Macaca mulatta: one gene and its partners. The protein of the gene in region 1 interacts with the protein of each later gene in a biochemical or structural test. Links are inferred from orthologs where the notes say so. Each region holds a gene or a part of one and is shown in the gene's direction. Other genes may lie near its edges.

Region 1 (3,520 bases):
TAATTAGTCCTGTTCTCTAACTTCCCTTGCTTACTTATTGTAAGGTTTATAATGCTTTTTAATATTATTCTCAAGTTACAAATAGTAAAACTGTTTTACTTTACTTTGTCCTTATTTTGGTTCTCTTTGAACTAAATCTTTAAATATTGGAGTGATTTCTGATAACACATGCTTCAGAGTTTCCTTCCTGGAAATAAAAACTCTAAAAGATCATGGAGATAAATGATATAGTATACATTAGATGCTTAATCATTTGTTTATTGATTGATTATTTGAGATAGGGTCTTACTCTATCATCCAGGATGGAGTACTGTGGTGTGATCTGTAGCTTAATGTAGCCTGGAACTTTTAGGCTCAAGAGATCCTCCTGCCTCAGCCTCCCAAGGCGCTGGGATTACAGTCATGAGCCACTGTGCCCAGCCCAGTATACCTTTTTAAATTAACCTGCTGATGTGTAACAAATAAAAAAAGAAAAGTAACACTAAAATGTTACTACTCTGGGCAGTTTGGGTCAAAAGAAGCTGTCTGTTCTAGTCCCCTCTCTCCCAATGTCTTAACTTAAACTGCTTTGTTTCTTAGTGAAATTAAAGGAGCTTACTTCTTAGAATACAATAATTAGGTCAATAAAATGGTACTTGTATTTAAATACAGATAATACATTAAAATTTTAAATATGAATAAATAAAAATAATTTGATAATACTTTTCATCATTGTTTATTATGTAATCTCTTATTTTTTTCTCCCCTTAGAATTGAGAAAAGTTTCCAAGTCTTCAACTCATCCACAACATAATCCTAATGAAAATGAAATTCTAGTAGCTGACACTTATGACCAAAGTCAACCTCCAATGGCCAGTAAGCAAGATACTGAGATTACTTTACAAGTTTAAATTGTGGTTATTGGTGGGTAAGAGTGACCCACAGTCTAACTTAGACAATATTTTAAAGGTATTTTCTGTATAATTTTGTTTATATTACTAGTTTACTATCTTTTTCATATTGGAAAGTAATGTTATCCTATTAGTTCATATAAATATCCCTAATGATATTAATATAAATTACTAATAATTTTAAGTAAAGAAGGCTTTACTGTAATTTACTTATTTGTTCAACAAATATTTAAGCATCTGTTGTATACCAGGCACTAAGTAAAACAAAGCCCTTGTCCTCATGGAGCTTATGATCTAGTTGAGGGAGAAATAAAATTTATGTCAGATAGAAGCAAGTGCTCTGAAGAAAAGTAAAGCAGGGTAAGAAGGGATATTAGAAAGCCTCACTGGTAAAGTGTCGTTTGCATAAGGACTGAGGGAGGGAAGTGAGTCACGTGGCTATCTGGGAGACGGGCACCCAGGCAGAGAGATTTGCAAGCCCAGAGGCCTTGCAGTGAAGATGGCATTTGGTTTGTTTGAGGAACATTAAGGAACCCTGTGTGGCTGGAGCAGAGTGAGTGAAGGGGAGATTGGTTTGGACAAAAGGAAAAATAGAGTTACCATTTACTGAGATGGAAGAGACTGGGAGCCACAGGTGTATAGGTTGGGGCAGGGATGAGTAGAAATTAGAAGTTTCGTTTTGGGAATATTCCATTTGAAATGCAAACTCAACATTCAGGTAGAGTTTGGATTCGTGAGTAGATGTGAGTTAGAATTTAGAGAAGTTTAGGATGGAGACACATGGAAGTTGTCAGCATGTAGATGGCATCTAAGCCATAAAACTAAATGAGATTACCAAGCAAGTGATAATAGAAGGGAATGAGAAGTCCAAGTATTGAGCCTTAAGGAACTTCATTACGTAAAGCCATGATTTTCAACTTTTCTTTTGTTGAAGAACCCCCACCCCAGCTTTTTTAGACATTTCCCCCTCCCCCCAATCCCTTCCCTACTGGAGTTTTAGTACTACAGATATACTGTATATCTGTTTAAGTGATACGTGTATGCATGTATGTCTGTGCTTTATACATAGTAAGGTTTTTTTTGCTCCCGCCTGCCCCAAACCATTTTTACTCCCTTAGAGAAAAGATTGTAGCTGTTGAGGTTGTGAAAATGAGTAGGAACCAACAAAACAGAGAAGGAGCTGCCAATGAGATAGGAAAACTAAAAATGATGTCCTTTAAGCCAAGTGGAGAGAGGACGAAGGGGTGGTCAACTGTGTTTAACAATGCTAATAAGTCAAGTAAGATGAAGACTTCTTAGAATTGACCATGGGATTTGGTTGCATGGAGATCACTGAGTGTTGAACTAGTGACATGATAAAAACTGTTAAGGTGTAATATTGACCATCTGAGATCTGTCTCATGTTCAAAGGAAGCTAAGGACAGAGAAAGTGGAAAGAGCACATACAAACAAGTCTTCCAAGACTTGACAGTCAAGAGGAGGAGAGAACAGGACAGTGGCTAAAGAAGAACATGAGTCAAGGGATGATTTTTTCAAGATGGAATATTATAGCATGATTAGCACATATTTATGTTGATAGGATGATCAAGTAAAGAGGAGAAAATTAATAATTCTGGAGAAAGAGGGAACAATTGCTACATCCTTAAAAAGGTCAGAGGAGATGAGATCCAGAGCCCAGTTGTAAGGGTTGGTCAAGGTTAATCTCTTATTCATTTTATAATAGTATAAAAGTTACATTCTGAAAGCTACTAATCATTTTATATTAACATGTGTGTCTGTTTGTCTGTCCATGAGTATGTGTGCATGTGCATGGAGGCTCCGGGTCCTCGGGATATAACACTGAGGTGCTAGGGATATAACACTGAGTGCAGCAGATCCTTGCTTCTCAGCTCTCTAGAACCAATTCTCTTCTGTTGCTGCCAGGTCTTTGCTCCATTATTTGTCCTGTCTTCCTTATACAGTATCTACAGTTTCTCTGCTGTCATTTTTAAGTATATACACGTATATGTTATCTTCCATCTTTAAAAAATAACCCCACTTTTAATAATCTCCACCTTTAGCTACAGCTTCTCTTCAGAGGTGAAAAAGTATTAAAGTCTATATTCAATATCTCTACTTTCCTAATTCGCATTCACTCCAACTCACTGTAATATGGATTCTACTCCCACCCCCACCCGCAAGAGAGGAAGAGAGAGGGAAGGGGGAGGGAAGGAGGAAAGGAGGGGAGAGAAAAGTGCTAGAGGAGCAGGGTATAGGGGAAGGGAGGGAGACTTACAGGGGTTGAAGAGAGGAGAATGCATTCACAAACCCTTTGTTACTGCTTACACTTGAACTGCTTCTGACTGTAAATGTCATCAGTGTTGCTGTTCTCCAAAATATGTGGTACTGTGCCTGTTCTATTTCTGTCTCTCTCTTTCTCTCTTTTTTTTTTTTTTTTTTTTGAGACCAGGTCTCTCTCTGTCACCCAGGCTGGAGTGCAGTGGCACAAACACAGCTCACTGCAGCCTCAACCTCCCAGGCTCAAGTAATCCTCCCACCTCAGCCCCCCAAGTAGCTGAGACTACAGGCACACACCACCATGTCTGGCTAATATTTGTATTTTTGTAGAACAGGGTTTCACCATGTTGCCA
Region 2 (2,676 bases), on another chromosome or scaffold:
GGCCTCCGCTGCCCTAGCCTGGTCATGCCAGCAGCAAAGAGCAAGGAACCAAAGGGCAGCCTTCCCCACGGCCTGCCTGCCAGTCACCAGTTTGAGCCAGGAAGCAGTGGAGGGGGACAATAGAATTATACTGTTGTTCATATTGTCTGTATGTAAAAACTAATCTGGGGATAATATAATAATCCTTGCCCAACCCCATCCCTACCCCCAAGCAATTGAATTCTTTAAAAAACAGCTTCACCGAAAATATGAGGAAGACCAGATTTTACAGGGCTTACTCAACAATTTTGAGATGTGCATAGTAAGAGAACTTTAGTTCTTATCCTTTTGACAGCAGAACAGGGGGCATGGAAAACAGCATATTTCTGGTTCAGGAAAAGACCCTTGATTTTATGCATGACAGCATTGATGATGAGCAGAGACTGAGACTTTTAGTCTTGAATATTTCACTTGTTTTGAGCAAAAGTAGCCAAGACCAGTTTAAGGCCAGGAAAAGGGAGTAGTTAAGTACTCAGAGAGGGTTGAAGCAATAGAAGTTTTGAGAAGGCCCAATGGCTCAATGCATTTCTTTCTCTGCAGTATGCCACCACGGGCTGTTCCCTGACCCTGCACCATACGGAGAAACCAGAACATGAAGACATCTGTGAATACCGTCCCTACTCCTGCCCTTGTCCTGGTGCCTCCTGCAAGTGGCAGGGGTCCCTGGAAGCTGTGATGTCCCATCTCATGCATGCCCACAAGAGCATTACCACCCTCCAAGGAGAAGACATCGTCTTTCTAGCTACAGACATTAACTTGCCAGGGGCTGTCGACTGGGTGATGATGCAGTCATGTTTTGGCCATCACTTCATGCTGGTGCTGGAGAAACAAGAGAAGTACGAAGGCCACCAGCAGTTTTTTGCCATCGTCCTGCTCATTGGCACCCGCAAGCAAGCTGAGAACTTTGCCTATAGACTGGAGTTGAATGGGAACCGGCGGAGATTGACCTGGGAGGCCACACCCCGGTCGATTCATGACGGTGTGGCTGCGGCCATCATGAACAGCGACTGCCTTGTTTTCGACACAGCCATAGCACATCTTTTTGCAGATAATGGGAACCTTGGAATCAATGTGACTATTTCTACATGTTGTCCATGATGTGACTTTCGTAAACCATCAAAATTATTTGGGCATAGTGCTCTATGTTTAATAAAGGTTTTTATAGATGTTTTATTCCATATGTCTTCACAAGTCAGGACCCACAATTACCCGTGTTTTGTTTGAACAGCAGTTTCCCATCTGGCTTCAACCCAACAAAGTTCATTAACCTGGGATGAATGGGGTTGGCCTGTTGGTAATTTGGAGGCTGTTCTGTGATCTAAAACAACTCTTATTAAATTGTATTTACTCCCTAAACAACACTTGACAGGCTGTTGCACAGGGCTTCTATAGATCAGTGTGTCAGGAATGGGAGGCCCCTTCCTGCCTGCCTTCGCGTATTGGTCCCTTGACATTGACAAAAGCACAGTGACTGTCAGCAGATTCCTTTACTTTTGTTTGTGGGATGTAGGAATTGTTTTAATGCATTTTAAACAGTGTTTCTCAAATAGGATGGCTGGCTAATAGACACTGAATCACCCGGAGTGCTTATCTTAAAATTGCAGATTTAGGGAGCCTGCCAATTTAACAGTCTCATCAGGTGATTCTTTTCAGCAGTAATGTTTGAGAATTACTGGGTTAAATTGTGGGAAAGGGTCCAGATTTTAAAGGTGCTTTAAGGTTGCCCTCTGCCGATACTGTTTGTCTTTCTACTGTTTCATCCCCTAACCTCCCCCAACCCTCAAATTAAAACTAGTAGAACTATAGATCCACATGAACACACGCCTGAGATTTGGTCACTCACCTATGTTTTGGGTGGATTGCCTAGGAAAGAAAGTCATATGGCCATTGATAGTTCTCATGTAATTAGTTTTGCTCACCACTAGTACAGATGACCCGTTTACACATGGCTTCCCTCGGAAGCCCTCGTCGACAGTAGCTGGTGTGAAAGACGAGGTCAGTAGAGTTGGAAAAGCTTTATAACCGGTGTGTCATATGCTTGCTATTTAAAGCTGTGTGTTGGTTTTGTTTTTCTGCCACATTCACTAGTTTTTTAATAAATATTTTCCAAAAATGGATGTTGTGCTTCATTTCCCTAATTGAATAACGGGTATTTATTGAGCATCTACTGTGTGCAATTCATGTAGTGAACCTTCATCACTACATCTGGGGTTGGAACTTTCACTGTTTCCACTGTGGAAACAGTCACTGGGCCAAGTCATGGCGTGGGTCCATGACAGCACTGGGGTCCGGGCTCACGTGTCTGAACCACTGAATGTCAGTGCAGCAGGTCTCCTCCCAGGGCTGTCGTTTCTATCTGATGGTGCCAGTAGCTGTGCAAGAAGAGGATTGCTCCTGCTTTACAGAGTCAGAAGGAAGACGCTTGGCCAGTGCTGACATCCAGAGTGCTAGGGTTGATCCATGGTGACCCACTGCCTCAGTCCCAACCCTAAACTCTCAAAAGAATTGAGAGGATTAGGGCCAAATGCTCAGCAAGGATTGAAGGCTGCTTACTTCAGTGTCCCAGTTTCCCTTTTTTGTTGTTGTTGTTGTTTTTGTTTTTGAGACGGAGGCTGGAGTGCAATGGCATGATCTCAG
Region 3 (3,520 bases), on another chromosome or scaffold:
AGTGGTTATCCTGCCTCAGCCTTCTGACTAGCTGGGATTCCAGGCATGTGCCACCATGGCTGGCTAATTTTTGTATTTTTAATAGAGATTGGGTTTCACCATGTTGGCCAGCTGGTCTCGAATGCCTAACCTCGTGAGCCACCTGCCTTGGCCTCCCAAAGTGGTGGGATTACAGTTGTGAGCCACCACACCTGGCCCAAATATTGCTAATTTAACATCTTTTAAAATGTTTGTTTAAGGGAAACTTAACAACTTACCCAGCTAGCCAAAACGTTGACAATTTTCCTGGCAATTTAGGAAGTAGGACATAGTAACTATTAAGAGCCAGTTTATTTTTAGAGTACTATGGAAATGATGATGGTGATTCTCTAATTAGGATATTGTTAAGAGTACCATGTCTGTATATTTCCTCTTAGTTTGTTAATGTGATTGAATAGTTTTCAAATTAACCCCCCCCTTTTTTTTTAGGCTACAGATTGCAACCCAATTAATATCAAAGTATCCTGCAAGTTTACCTAACTGTGAGCTGTCTCCATTACTGATGATACTCTCTCAGCTTCTACCCCAACAGCGACATGGGGAACGTACACCGTATGTGTTACGATGCCTTACGGAAGTTGCACTGTGCCAAGACAAGAGGTCAAACCTAGAAAGCTCACAAAAGTCAGATTTATTAAAACTCTGGAATAAAATTTGGTGTATTACCTTTCGTGGTATAAGTTCTGAGCAAATACAAGCTGAAAACTTTGGCTTACTTGGAGCCATAATTCAGAGTAGTTTAGTTGAGGTTGACAGAGAATTCTGGAAGTTATTTACTGGGTCAGCCTGCAGACCTTCATGGTAAGTTTAGCATGCATTATGTCTGACTTTACATATAAACACACACAGACACACACTCACATATCCCTGATCATTTTCATAGTTTGTTACTTCAGTTAAAGATGTCAAATTCTATTTCAGATGCTTTTCTTGTTTGGCCAAGAAGACTTAATAAATGCATAAATGTCGACAAATTATTAAAGCCTAATGTTAAGGAATTTCTTTTTTTAATTAAAAAATTTTTAATTGATCTATGATAGAGTTATATATTTTCAAGGTACATGTGATAATTTGACACACTCATATGACACACTCATGTAGAGTGATGGGATATCATCACCCTACATATCTTTTCTTCATGCCAGGAACATTTGAATTATTCTCTTCTTGCTATTTTGAAATGTACAGTAGATTAATGTTAACCGTAGTCATCCTACTGATGTATCAGACACCAGGTCTTATTCCTTCTAATTGTATATGTGTATCCAAAAGACTTTCTTTAAAGAATTACCAAGAGTTTAAATTTCTTTTATGTGCAATTTATCATTATTTATTCAATAGCCTTGTTAAAATTGTAGTACTATCCACTGTTAATAAAAGAACTATTTTTTAATCAAGAATCTTCCCAAATGTAATCAGACTTTTAACAATTTTTATGTTCATTTAGTCAACTTAACTAAATGTTTGTGCCAGCCACTGTCCTGATAGATAAAGTCTTTGCTCCTTCAAGAGCTTGCTTTTCATAATTGTCCTTTGTTTTGTTATAGTCCTGCAGTATGCTGTTTGACTTTGGCACTGACCACCAGTGTAGTTCCTGGAACAGTAAAAATGGGAATAGAGCAAAATATGTGTGAAGTAAATAGAAGCTTTTCTTTAAAGGAATCAATAATGAAATGGCTCTTATTCTATCAGCTAGAGGGTGACTTAGAAAATAGTACAGAAGTGCCTCCAATTCTTCACAGGTAATTTAAGTTCGTTAGCATGCTGCTGGTTTTTTTGTTTTGTCAGGCTCTCTCCACTTACTTGATGCCACTTGGCTTTATTTTATAATAGTAATGCAGAATCTCCCAGATCTAACCTTAATTATTAAATATTACATTTGTTTTTACAGTCTATCTGTGTCTTTATACCTGATTGCTTCTGAAATAAAGAGTTGTCTCACTGTGAGAATATGGGGGATGTGCATGAAGAATGCACATATAATTCTTTGAGCATTTATGTGTTCCTTTCTGATTTTTTAAATAAATAAGTCCATATATCTCAGTTATGTAGATCCTGGATCCTTTCTCATAATGGGAGTGTCTTTTGGGTAAAATATGTTTTATAGATAAGGTGAGGAAATGAGGAAGACAAAACAGGATGTAAGCACTAGGATAAAGGAATGGAGTCACTTGTCCACTTAACCTTTGCACAGATGGTAATTGGAACCAAATGATTGGAGAGCAGACCTCTGAATGGATCCAATTAAAGAACTTTTGCTTTAATTTTACAACCTTTTATTTACTTCAGAAATACTGTTAATCAGACATCCTATTTCTAAACAGTATTGGAAATGATAGTAACAATGGTTGTCCTCCTTAAATTATCCTTTTAGATATTAAGAAATTCAGTATAGATGAAAGCAATTTTAATCTAGGATCCAAATTTTAGAAGTCAAGATTTATAGCTAAACGTGGATGTTAAAGTTTAAAGTATTCTTTATGTGGCTTTTGGTCTTCTAAGTGAAGCTTTTGGTTTTTCTTTATAGTAATTTTCCTCATCTTGTACTGGAGAAAATTCTTGTGAGTCTCACTATGAAAAACTGTAAAGCTGCAATGAATTTTTTCCAAAGTGTGCCAGAATGGTATGTTATCTAATAATGTTCTTTGTCATTTTAAGCTATAGCTTTAATTACGAAGATGATAATTTTAGTTGTGTAGTAGCTGTATCTTAATAATTGTAAACTAAATTGGTCCAAAACAAATTGCAACTGTTACCCAGGGAAGAGGTTGTTTTAATTCAGTGGTTGTAATCTGTGTTATATAACATTAGACCAAGGTTACTATTTTTTAATGCTGTATAGTACAATATGTGGCAAGTGCCAATGAGAAAAGTTGAGTGGTTATGCTGGGAAATTAAGAATATATAATTTATATGAAATAAGTTCTTAAAGATGTTACCCATTTCTGTACATCAACTATGATTTGACTATTTGTTAGCTTTAAAAACTAAGGATAATTGAAAACAAAAATAAATCTAAACCTGATTTTAGTTGATTGACTCAAGAGACTTAAATTGTATTACTGTGACTGAAAACGACTCACTGGCACAAAGATTCCTTATCTCCCTCAAGAGGGCAAAAGATGAAAAAAATTCCTACTTTTTGGAGAAATTAATAGTGAAAAACAAATAAATACCAACAACAATAATGAAACTTTGGTAGCAAGATCGTTACTTTTCTAACCCAAAGGATGCGTAACTGCTTAACCATACCAGATATTAAAGGTTTTTAAATCTATGCTTGTTACTCCTTCTGCTTGGTGAAAAAAGGGTTGTGTTTGCAGACAATGTTATGCTTAACATTGATATCTGGTAATTTTAAAAATACTTTCTGAATTTGCCTTTGAAATTGTAACTTATATTTTTTTCTCTGTCTATTGGTAAATTTTGCTACTGAATAATGAAATTTGATACAAGTAGGTATCAAAGTCCAAAGGAGAGA
Region 4 (3,138 bases), on another chromosome or scaffold:
CTTCTGACTGGCCTCCCAGCCTCCCCCAGGCTGTTCCCAAGTGACTGGGAGTCCCCTGGGCGTTTGGGCCACATCTGGCTGCCCTGTCTGCCTGGCGGTCTGGTCTCCTTGGCCCTCAGGCCGCCGCCACCGTGGGCCCCTCACACGTGTTGTTCCAGCTCTTCGGCTCCCTTCCCATCCCCTCATGTCTCCAACAAGCTTGGTCTTCTCAGGGATGCCTGCCCTGGCTGCCACCTCTGTAACTGCACCCGCTTCCCTCCTGCCCCAGCGCCCAGCCGGCTTCCTTCCTGTGCAGCGGTTCCCTCTGAGGCGATGCAGGAGACACCACATTGGCGGGCTTGGGTTCTTGTGTCCTTCGCAGCCGCGTCTGGGCTTCTGAGGTCCTGTGTCCTTCGCAGCCGCGTCTGGGCTTCCGGGGTCCTGTGTCCCTTGCAGCCGTGCTGTTGGCTCACGGTGGGCGCATGCACCCTGCCGACCCTTCCCCGGGGAGGAAATGGTGGCTCTGGCTCCGTGGCTCCTGTGCTGGGGCCCACGCCAGCCTTGGACTGCTGGGGTCGGGGCAGGCACGTCTGCCCGGGATGGCTTTCTCTGCCACTCCACTGGAAGGGGACAGGACATGAGCCCAGCGGGGCCTCCCTGGTCTGGAAGGTTCCCTCCCGCCCCCTTTGCCATCTCCACCTAGTCGTGGCTGGAACTGAGATGCCAGAGACATCGATGGGTGGACCGGAAAGCAGGCCAGTGGAGGGACCTGGGCACATAGGGCGTGTGTGGGGTGAGTGGAGACCCGCTGACGGTCCGTTTGACACTGAGTGGTTCGTGTCACGTCCTGTGGACAGGCTGCGGGGGGGCGTGGCTGGCAGCTGGTGTGGGCCGAGGGGCTCGTGCACCCTTTCCCCCCCGTGCACAGCCTCCACCTTGGCAGTGGGCGCATTGGGAGCAGACACCTCGTGTGGAGATACCTCGCGCCGGCACCTTGGCTTGACCACAGCTGGTGTCCTTGGCAGATGGTCAAACTGAGGCACAGGGGCCACTCCGATCCTGGCTGTCAGGGCTAGCCTCCCAGCCACGGGTGAGCGAGGGTTTCACACTGTGTCCTGACACCACCAGGTCGCGTGGGGCAGGCGGTGGCGCTGCGGGCCAAGGCCTTCGGCTTCAACGTGCTCTTCTACGACCCTTACCTGTCGGACGGCGTGGAGCGGGCGCTGGGGCTGCAGCGGGTCAGCACCCTGCAGGACCTGCTTTTCCACAGCGACTGCGTGAGCCTGCACTGCGGCCTCAACGAGCACAACCACCACCTCATCAACGACTTCACCGTCAAGCAGGTGCGTGGAGCCGGGGCACAGGGCTCTCCTTCTGCGGGGCAGGCACAGGTGGGGGTGTCAGGAAGGTCCCTCCCAGCAACCACCTGCACCTGGGCGAGACCCTGCCTTCAGTGAGCCACATGGCGGCGGTGCCGGCCCTGCTGGGGGAAGCCCTGTCTGCCCAGATGGCGTTTTCCATGTTCTGAGTTCTACCCAGGATGCCTGAAATACTCTGGATAAGACAGAACCACATACCTTTGAATCCTAAATTCCCCTGAAGCTCTTGCCACTGTCACAGTGGAGATGATGCAGCTACCTGGGGGCATTGGGCCTGCCCTTCTGACTTCCATCCTGTGCTGCCAGGTTCAGGTTTCACATCTGCAGCTGGAGAGGGCTGTGCTCAGGTCGGCCTCTGCCTCAGCTCAGCGCAGAGCGCAGCCTCAGCCCGTGTTTCCCTCGGGTGGGCGGAGCTCGGGTGGGCGGAGCTCGGGACGGCTGCCTCCCGCTGGCTGTTGGCCTTTCAGGGAGTCGTTATGTGTGCACGGTGATGTGTGTGTATGTGGGCAAGTGTGTGTGGGTGCCTGTGTCTGCCCGTTTGAGCTTGTGTGTGCGTGTGTGTACACGTGTCAGAGGCCACCCACCCACTCAAGCTGCCCCAGCAGCCTGTAGCCACAGGGAGGATGAAACCAGGTGCCCACCTCCCCTTCCTTTGTTCACAGAGCCAGTGGGTTTGGAGCCTTCTAGTGGACAGGGTGTGGCACGTGGATGCTGGTCAGGGCCCTGCCATCCCTGAGGACCTTGGGTGTGAGGCTGCAATGGGCAGCAACTCACCAAAGAAAAGCCACCGTGACCCACCCGGCTGCCACCCAAGTGCAATGGCTGGGTGGGCTTCCTCGGAATGAAATGGGGGGGTTGCAGGAAAGCCCTGGCCACGAAGCTGACAGGGAGCCACTGCAAGGGCCTTTTGCAAAAGTGCATGAAAAGTGAGCCTGTCCGGAGGCCCCACTGGGGTTGGAGTCAAACACCACACCTCAGAGTAGACGGCCCTGGGCTTTGTCATCCCAGGGAGTCCCACCTCGTGGGCCGAGGCCCTGTTGGGGGAGGCTGGGCTGGAGGGGACCCAGAGAAGGGGTACCACAGGGGGACCAAGCCAGGAGCCCCCACCCAGTCCTCAGCTCAGGGCTTGGGCAGGAACGTAGAGCTCTCTAGGAGGTGTGGGGCCATGCAGGTCTGCCAGGGCCGAACCTCAGCCAGCTTGCCAGGGCCGCGGCGCAGCACGCCTGAGGTCTTAAGTCCTAGCACCCTGGTGAGCCCAGGGTGGGCCTGGGCTGGGAAGGGGCCAGGGAGCTGGGCCTCCTCAGCAGCGTGCGTGACCACCTTGCTTCCCTGGCCGCTCGCCCTGCACGGAACCCTGACTGGGCCTGGCCTGTCCTCATGTCTTCCAGATGAGACAAGGGGCCTTCCTGGTGAACACAGCCCGGGGCGGCCTGGTGGACGAGAAGGCGCTGGCCCAGGCCCTGAAGGAGGGCCGGATCCGCGGCGCGGCCCTGGACGTGCACGAGTCGGAACCCTTCAGGTGCCCTCACAGCCAGTGTCACCCCCTGCTCTTCCCTGCCCACCATCCTGCCGGCCTTGACCTGCAGATGGCGCCTCCGCCAGGCCGGGCACTTGCTTGTACTCAGGCCTCTCGCTGGCCGGCATGGGGGAGTTTGCTGCTCACTGTGGGGTGAGGACGGAGCCACGGGCTCCAGGCCTGCCTCGCCTCGGTCCTGTGAGGGTTGATCGTCCTCCTCAGCCCCTCTTCGGGCAGGGCTCCCCACCAGCCAGGAGAGAGTGA
Region 5 (4,038 bases), on another chromosome or scaffold:
TGTTGTGCAGCAAGCCAAGTGGACAGTGACGCAATAATCCACTGCAAGTTGCCTTACAAAAATGATGTCATTTGGCGCAGATCTAGTCACTTTTATAACAGGTAGCTATGGAAAAGCTCCCTCCACGTTGTCCCCGATTCCCCCACCCCCACCGTGGCCAAGATGCAAAAAGACACTTTCCTGGCTTCCTAGCCCTCAACTTGTCGAGGGTGGGCGCACCTCAGTGGCTCGGGGCCCATCGCTCGTGCAGGCGGAGAGGGACCAAGGGGACGAGGACAGCTGAGTGTCCTCAGCCCCGACGGCGGCGCCGCGGGGGAAGCTGCGTCGGGCCCAGTCTGGGGCCGCGACGCCCGGTCGCCTGTTTTCCTCGGTGGGAAACCGCTGGCGTGGCGGGCCGGCAGCCGGGACGCGGGGCGCCGCGGGCGCGGGACAGCCTTCCCCGCCAGCCCCCCACCCCCGTTCCCACACCGGCTCCCGCTCCCGTGGCGCCGGAAGTGACGCGCTTTAGGCTGAAAGATGGCGGCATTGGCGCTCGACCAGGGGGAAGGTAAACACCCGCCAGGCCACAGGCTGGCCCCCTCGGGGCGCCAGCAGGGGCCGAGGGGGGGCCTCCCGGGCCAGCTCCCCGCCCCCAACGGCTTCCCACCCTCCGCCCTCTCTCCCAGCGTGGCGGGCTTCCGCGTCAAGACGACGGCGCACGGGGCCCCGTGCCGGCCAGCCCCGCCTCCCTGGGCGGGCCCCGGGCGGCTCCCGCGGCCCGCAGGGGGCGCGCGGCCCGGAGCGGCCCCCGGCTCGTGGCCCCGCACGCCCCGCCCCTTCCCCGCCCCTTTCCCGCCTTCCTCCACCCCCGGCGTGGGTGATCCCGAGGCTCGGCGCGCTTCGGGGCAGAAGCTCGGAGACGCCGTCCTCGACGCTACCTTCTCTGGTGCTTCTGTCTCTGCCTGCTGCCCCCCAGCCCTTTCCCCCGCCCGCGGCCCCAGTCGGCCCTCCCGCCGAGCCCCGCCGGGTGCTGCGAGGCCCCCGGCGTTGGCAAGGTCGGTCCGGGCCCCGACGCCGCGCCGCCTCGTGCGGAGCCCGACTGTCTGGTTTCGCGACTCAGCGCTGTCTTCTTTCCCAGGACTTATCCAGAGGGTGCTGCAGGCGAGCACGCTCGTGCCCCGCCGGAGCGACCCGGCTCGTGCCGGCAGCGGCCGCTCGTAGACGTCCGAGAAGCCTGCCGAGTGCCGTCCCGGCGCCCGACCGCCCACCCATTGGCCCGCCGGCCCGGTTCTTCCTGATGCAGACTGCCGTCCACTAGAGGCTGGACAGGACCCCCCGAGGTACGTAGCCGCCCCTGGCCGCCGGCCTGCGGAGCCCGGGCTTCGCCCGCGACCCCGAGCTAGGCACGAATTCGCCGGCCCTCTCTACACGGACCCGAGTCAAACATTGGGTAGACGCCGGGACCTCATTTGTCTTTGAGTTTACTTAAATTGTTTGAAATGTAATTTTTTTTTTTTCCCCAGAGAGAGCGAGAAAGAAAAAGGAAGAAGCATAATTCAGCCATTTTTTGCAGCACACAGCTGCAGGTACCATGATTATTTTTTCCCTAACCCGTTCCTTCCCTTTAACAATTCAATTTATGCCTGAAATAGAACTATGCGAAATGCGAGGCATAAAACTAGGAATCGGAAGGTCTGGGTTCGACTTGGGTGACTCTGAGAAAAAATCGCGTACCGAGCCTCGGTTTCTTATCTATGAAATATAGTCGGTAGTACCAACATCGCAGGGTTGAGAGGACTATATGAGGTCATATATGTGAAAATAATCCTTAACTGTAGAGTGTTGTAAGAATTCAAGGCCGTTTTTTAAAGTAACCTTTGCTAGAGTGGTTAATGTAGTGGCTAACTGTTGCTGCCTCTTTATTTCTATATTACAAATAAAAGCAAATAAGTACGGAATAATAGTAAAGCAGTGCTGTGAATCCATAGATCTATAATAGTCACGTTGCTTGGCCTTCCTCCTACGAAGTGCTAACTGCTTATTTAAATAACGGTATTCTTTAATTCAAATGTAACGTTACTGTAGGCGCTTTGCTTTTCCTCGTTCTAGGCCGCTTTAGGCCCCTTTTCTTACTCTGAATATTTAGTTAACACCTTACATTTGTTTAGTCTTTTCTGTTTTCCGAATTTGTTTGCCTTTGTTGATCTGATTAAGTGGTAATTTAGAAAATGCCTTGCAGACATACATACCCTAATTTTAATGCCTGTTTTTCATATCTAGGGAGCAGGATGCTCTAATACTTCTACTAATTTGAAAATTGGTTAAGAGCTTATCAATGCATTCATGTTTCAGTAATCCTTAATAGATCTAGAAATGTATAGAACATTTCAACTTTTTAGCACTTAATGTAATTATATAATTTGATTCTCATTTTTAATCATCACATGTAGTAGGTGCTTAGAGTCACAGTTTATCAGTGGTAGAGGATGTTAACTTGCACTCTTCATTGCTGATTAATTTGGGGAAAGAATAGGATAGTAAATATTTGTGGTTTGAAAATTGAATTTATTTTGCCAGAATTTATATGTGTAACAGATCAGTATGGATCATTTTTACTTGGCACATCAAAAATATAGTATGGTTTGGCTTAAATGGTCCACAAAAAGTGAAAAAGAAGCATTTTTGGGTACATTGTTATTTTTAGCTAACAAATGGTTTTGAGTAGTTAGGTTTTATTAAATTTATGATTGTCTAGTCCAATATCGGTTGTCTTTTCAGAGTATGCTTTTGTGTTTTGTAAAAAGGCAGAATAATAGAAGTTGGACAGGATTAACATAGTAAAAGGAAAAGCCTACTTCAAAGTGGTTGGTTTTATAGATTGGATTTATCACTTAACTTGAAGATAAAATTTTGACAAATCATTGCTTTATTGGGAATTTGAAGGTTTGACCTTCTCTCTACCTCGAGTCGGGTTATCTCAGAAACCTAACCTTGACCAGGGCAGGCTTGCCTTCATGGATGTTCAGAAGGGCCCCACGCTTGGTTTAATAATCTGCATGTAAAACTGGGATTGTACAGTATAAGGGTGAATGGTAAAAGTCATGCTAATTTAAATTTTTAATTTTCCTTTACTCAGAACGACATTAAACATAAAATTTAAAAAACACCCATGAGAGCCGGGAGCGGTGGCTCACGCCTGTAATCCCAGCACTTTGGGAGGCCGGGAGTTTGAGACCAGCCTGACCGACGTGGAGAAACCCCGTCTCTACTAAAAATACAAAATTAGCCGGGCGTGGTGGCGCACGCCTGTAATCCCAGCTACTCTAGTTCTAGCTACTCTGGAGGCTGAGGCAGTAGTAGAATCTCTTGAACCCGGGAGGCGGAAGTTCTGGTGATCCAAGATGGCGGCATTGCACTCCAGCCTGGGCGACAAGAGCAAAACTCCGTCTCAAAAAAAAAACGCCGTGAAATAGTCGAGAGATACAGAAGAAAGGAAAAAGCTTTATATTTTACTGCTTTTGACGACTTTTTTTTTTCTTTTTTTTAAGACAGAGTCTTGCTCCGTCGCCCAGGCTGGAGTGGAGTGGCGCGATCCTTGCTCACTGGAACCTCCACCTCCTGGCCTCAAAGGATTCTTGGGCCTCAGCCTGCTGAGTAGCTGGGATTACAGGCATGCACCACCACGCCCGGCTAATTTTTGTATTTTTGGTAGAGACGGGGTTTCACCATGTTGGCCAGGCTGGTCTCAAACTCCTGGACTCAAGTGATCCGCCCGCCTTGGCTTCCCAAAGTGCTGGAATTACAGGCGGGAGTCGCCGCACCCAGCTTTTTTTTTTTTTTTTTTTCCTCTTTTGAGACAGCCTTGCTCTGTCTCCTAGGCTGGAGTGCAGTGGCGCGATCTCGGCTCACTGCAACCTCCGCCTCCTGGGTTCAAGCTATTCTCCTGCCTCAGCCTCTCTGGTAGTTGGAATTACAGATGCGCGTCACCATGCTCAGCTAATTTTTGTATTTTTAGTAGAGACGGGGTTTCACCACATTAGCCAGGCTGGTCTCGAACCA

The links.
Region 2: the proteins of RBBP8 (region 1) and SIAH2 form a complex in vitro, tested with the Homo sapiens proteins (2 studies listed by BioGRID). The link is inferred for Macaca mulatta from reciprocal best matches to the Homo sapiens genes RBBP8 and SIAH2.
Region 3: of the proteins of RBBP8 (region 1) and ATM, one has a biochemical effect on the other in vitro, tested with the Homo sapiens proteins (4 studies listed by BioGRID, with this or other methods). The link is inferred for Macaca mulatta from reciprocal best matches to the Homo sapiens genes RBBP8 and ATM.
Region 4: the proteins of RBBP8 (region 1) and CTBP1 form a complex in vitro, tested with the Homo sapiens proteins (3 studies listed by BioGRID and IntAct). The link is inferred for Macaca mulatta from reciprocal best matches to the Homo sapiens genes RBBP8 and CTBP1.
Region 5: the proteins of RBBP8 (region 1) and KLHL15 form a complex in vitro, tested with the Homo sapiens proteins (2 studies listed by BioGRID, with this or other methods). The link is inferred for Macaca mulatta from reciprocal best matches to the Homo sapiens genes RBBP8 and KLHL15.

The regions. Positions count from the first base shown.
Region 1 is NC_133423.1:69,421,053-69,424,572, reverse strand, and holds part of RBBP8 (DNA endonuclease RBBP8), read left to right. Parts: intron 1-750; coding exon 751-855; intron 856-3,520. UniProt on the Homo sapiens protein: Endonuclease that cooperates with the MRE11-RAD50-NBN (MRN) complex in DNA-end resection, the first step of double-strand break (DSB) repair through the homologous recombination (HR) pathway.
Region 2 is NC_133407.1:53,779,092-53,781,767, reverse strand, and holds the end of SIAH2 (E3 ubiquitin-protein ligase SIAH2), read left to right. Parts: intron 1-579; coding exon 580-1,137; 3' UTR 1,138-2,168; downstream 2,169-2,676. UniProt on the Homo sapiens protein: E3 ubiquitin-protein ligase that mediates ubiquitination and subsequent proteasomal degradation of target proteins.
Region 3 is NC_133419.1:109,102,044-109,105,563, forward strand, and holds part of ATM (serine-protein kinase ATM), read left to right. Parts: intron 1-468; coding exon 469-840; intron 841-1,586; coding exon 1,587-1,781; intron 1,782-2,566; coding exon 2,567-2,662; intron 2,663-3,520.
Region 4 is NC_133410.1:1,289,643-1,292,780, reverse strand, and holds part of CTBP1 (C-terminal-binding protein 1), read left to right. Parts: intron 1-1,107; coding exon 1,108-1,322; intron 1,323-2,746; coding exon 2,747-2,877; intron 2,878-3,138. UniProt on the Homo sapiens protein: Corepressor targeting diverse transcription regulators such as GLIS2 or BCL6. Has dehydrogenase activity. Involved in controlling the equilibrium between tubular and stacked structures in the Golgi complex.
Region 5 is NC_133426.1:23,827,332-23,831,369, reverse strand, and holds the start of KLHL15 (kelch-like protein 15), read left to right. Parts: upstream 1-1,222; 5' UTR 1,223-1,319; intron 1,320-1,502; exon of another isoform or gene 1,503-1,565; intron 1,566-4,038. UniProt on the Homo sapiens protein: Substrate-specific adapter for CUL3 E3 ubiquitin-protein ligase complex.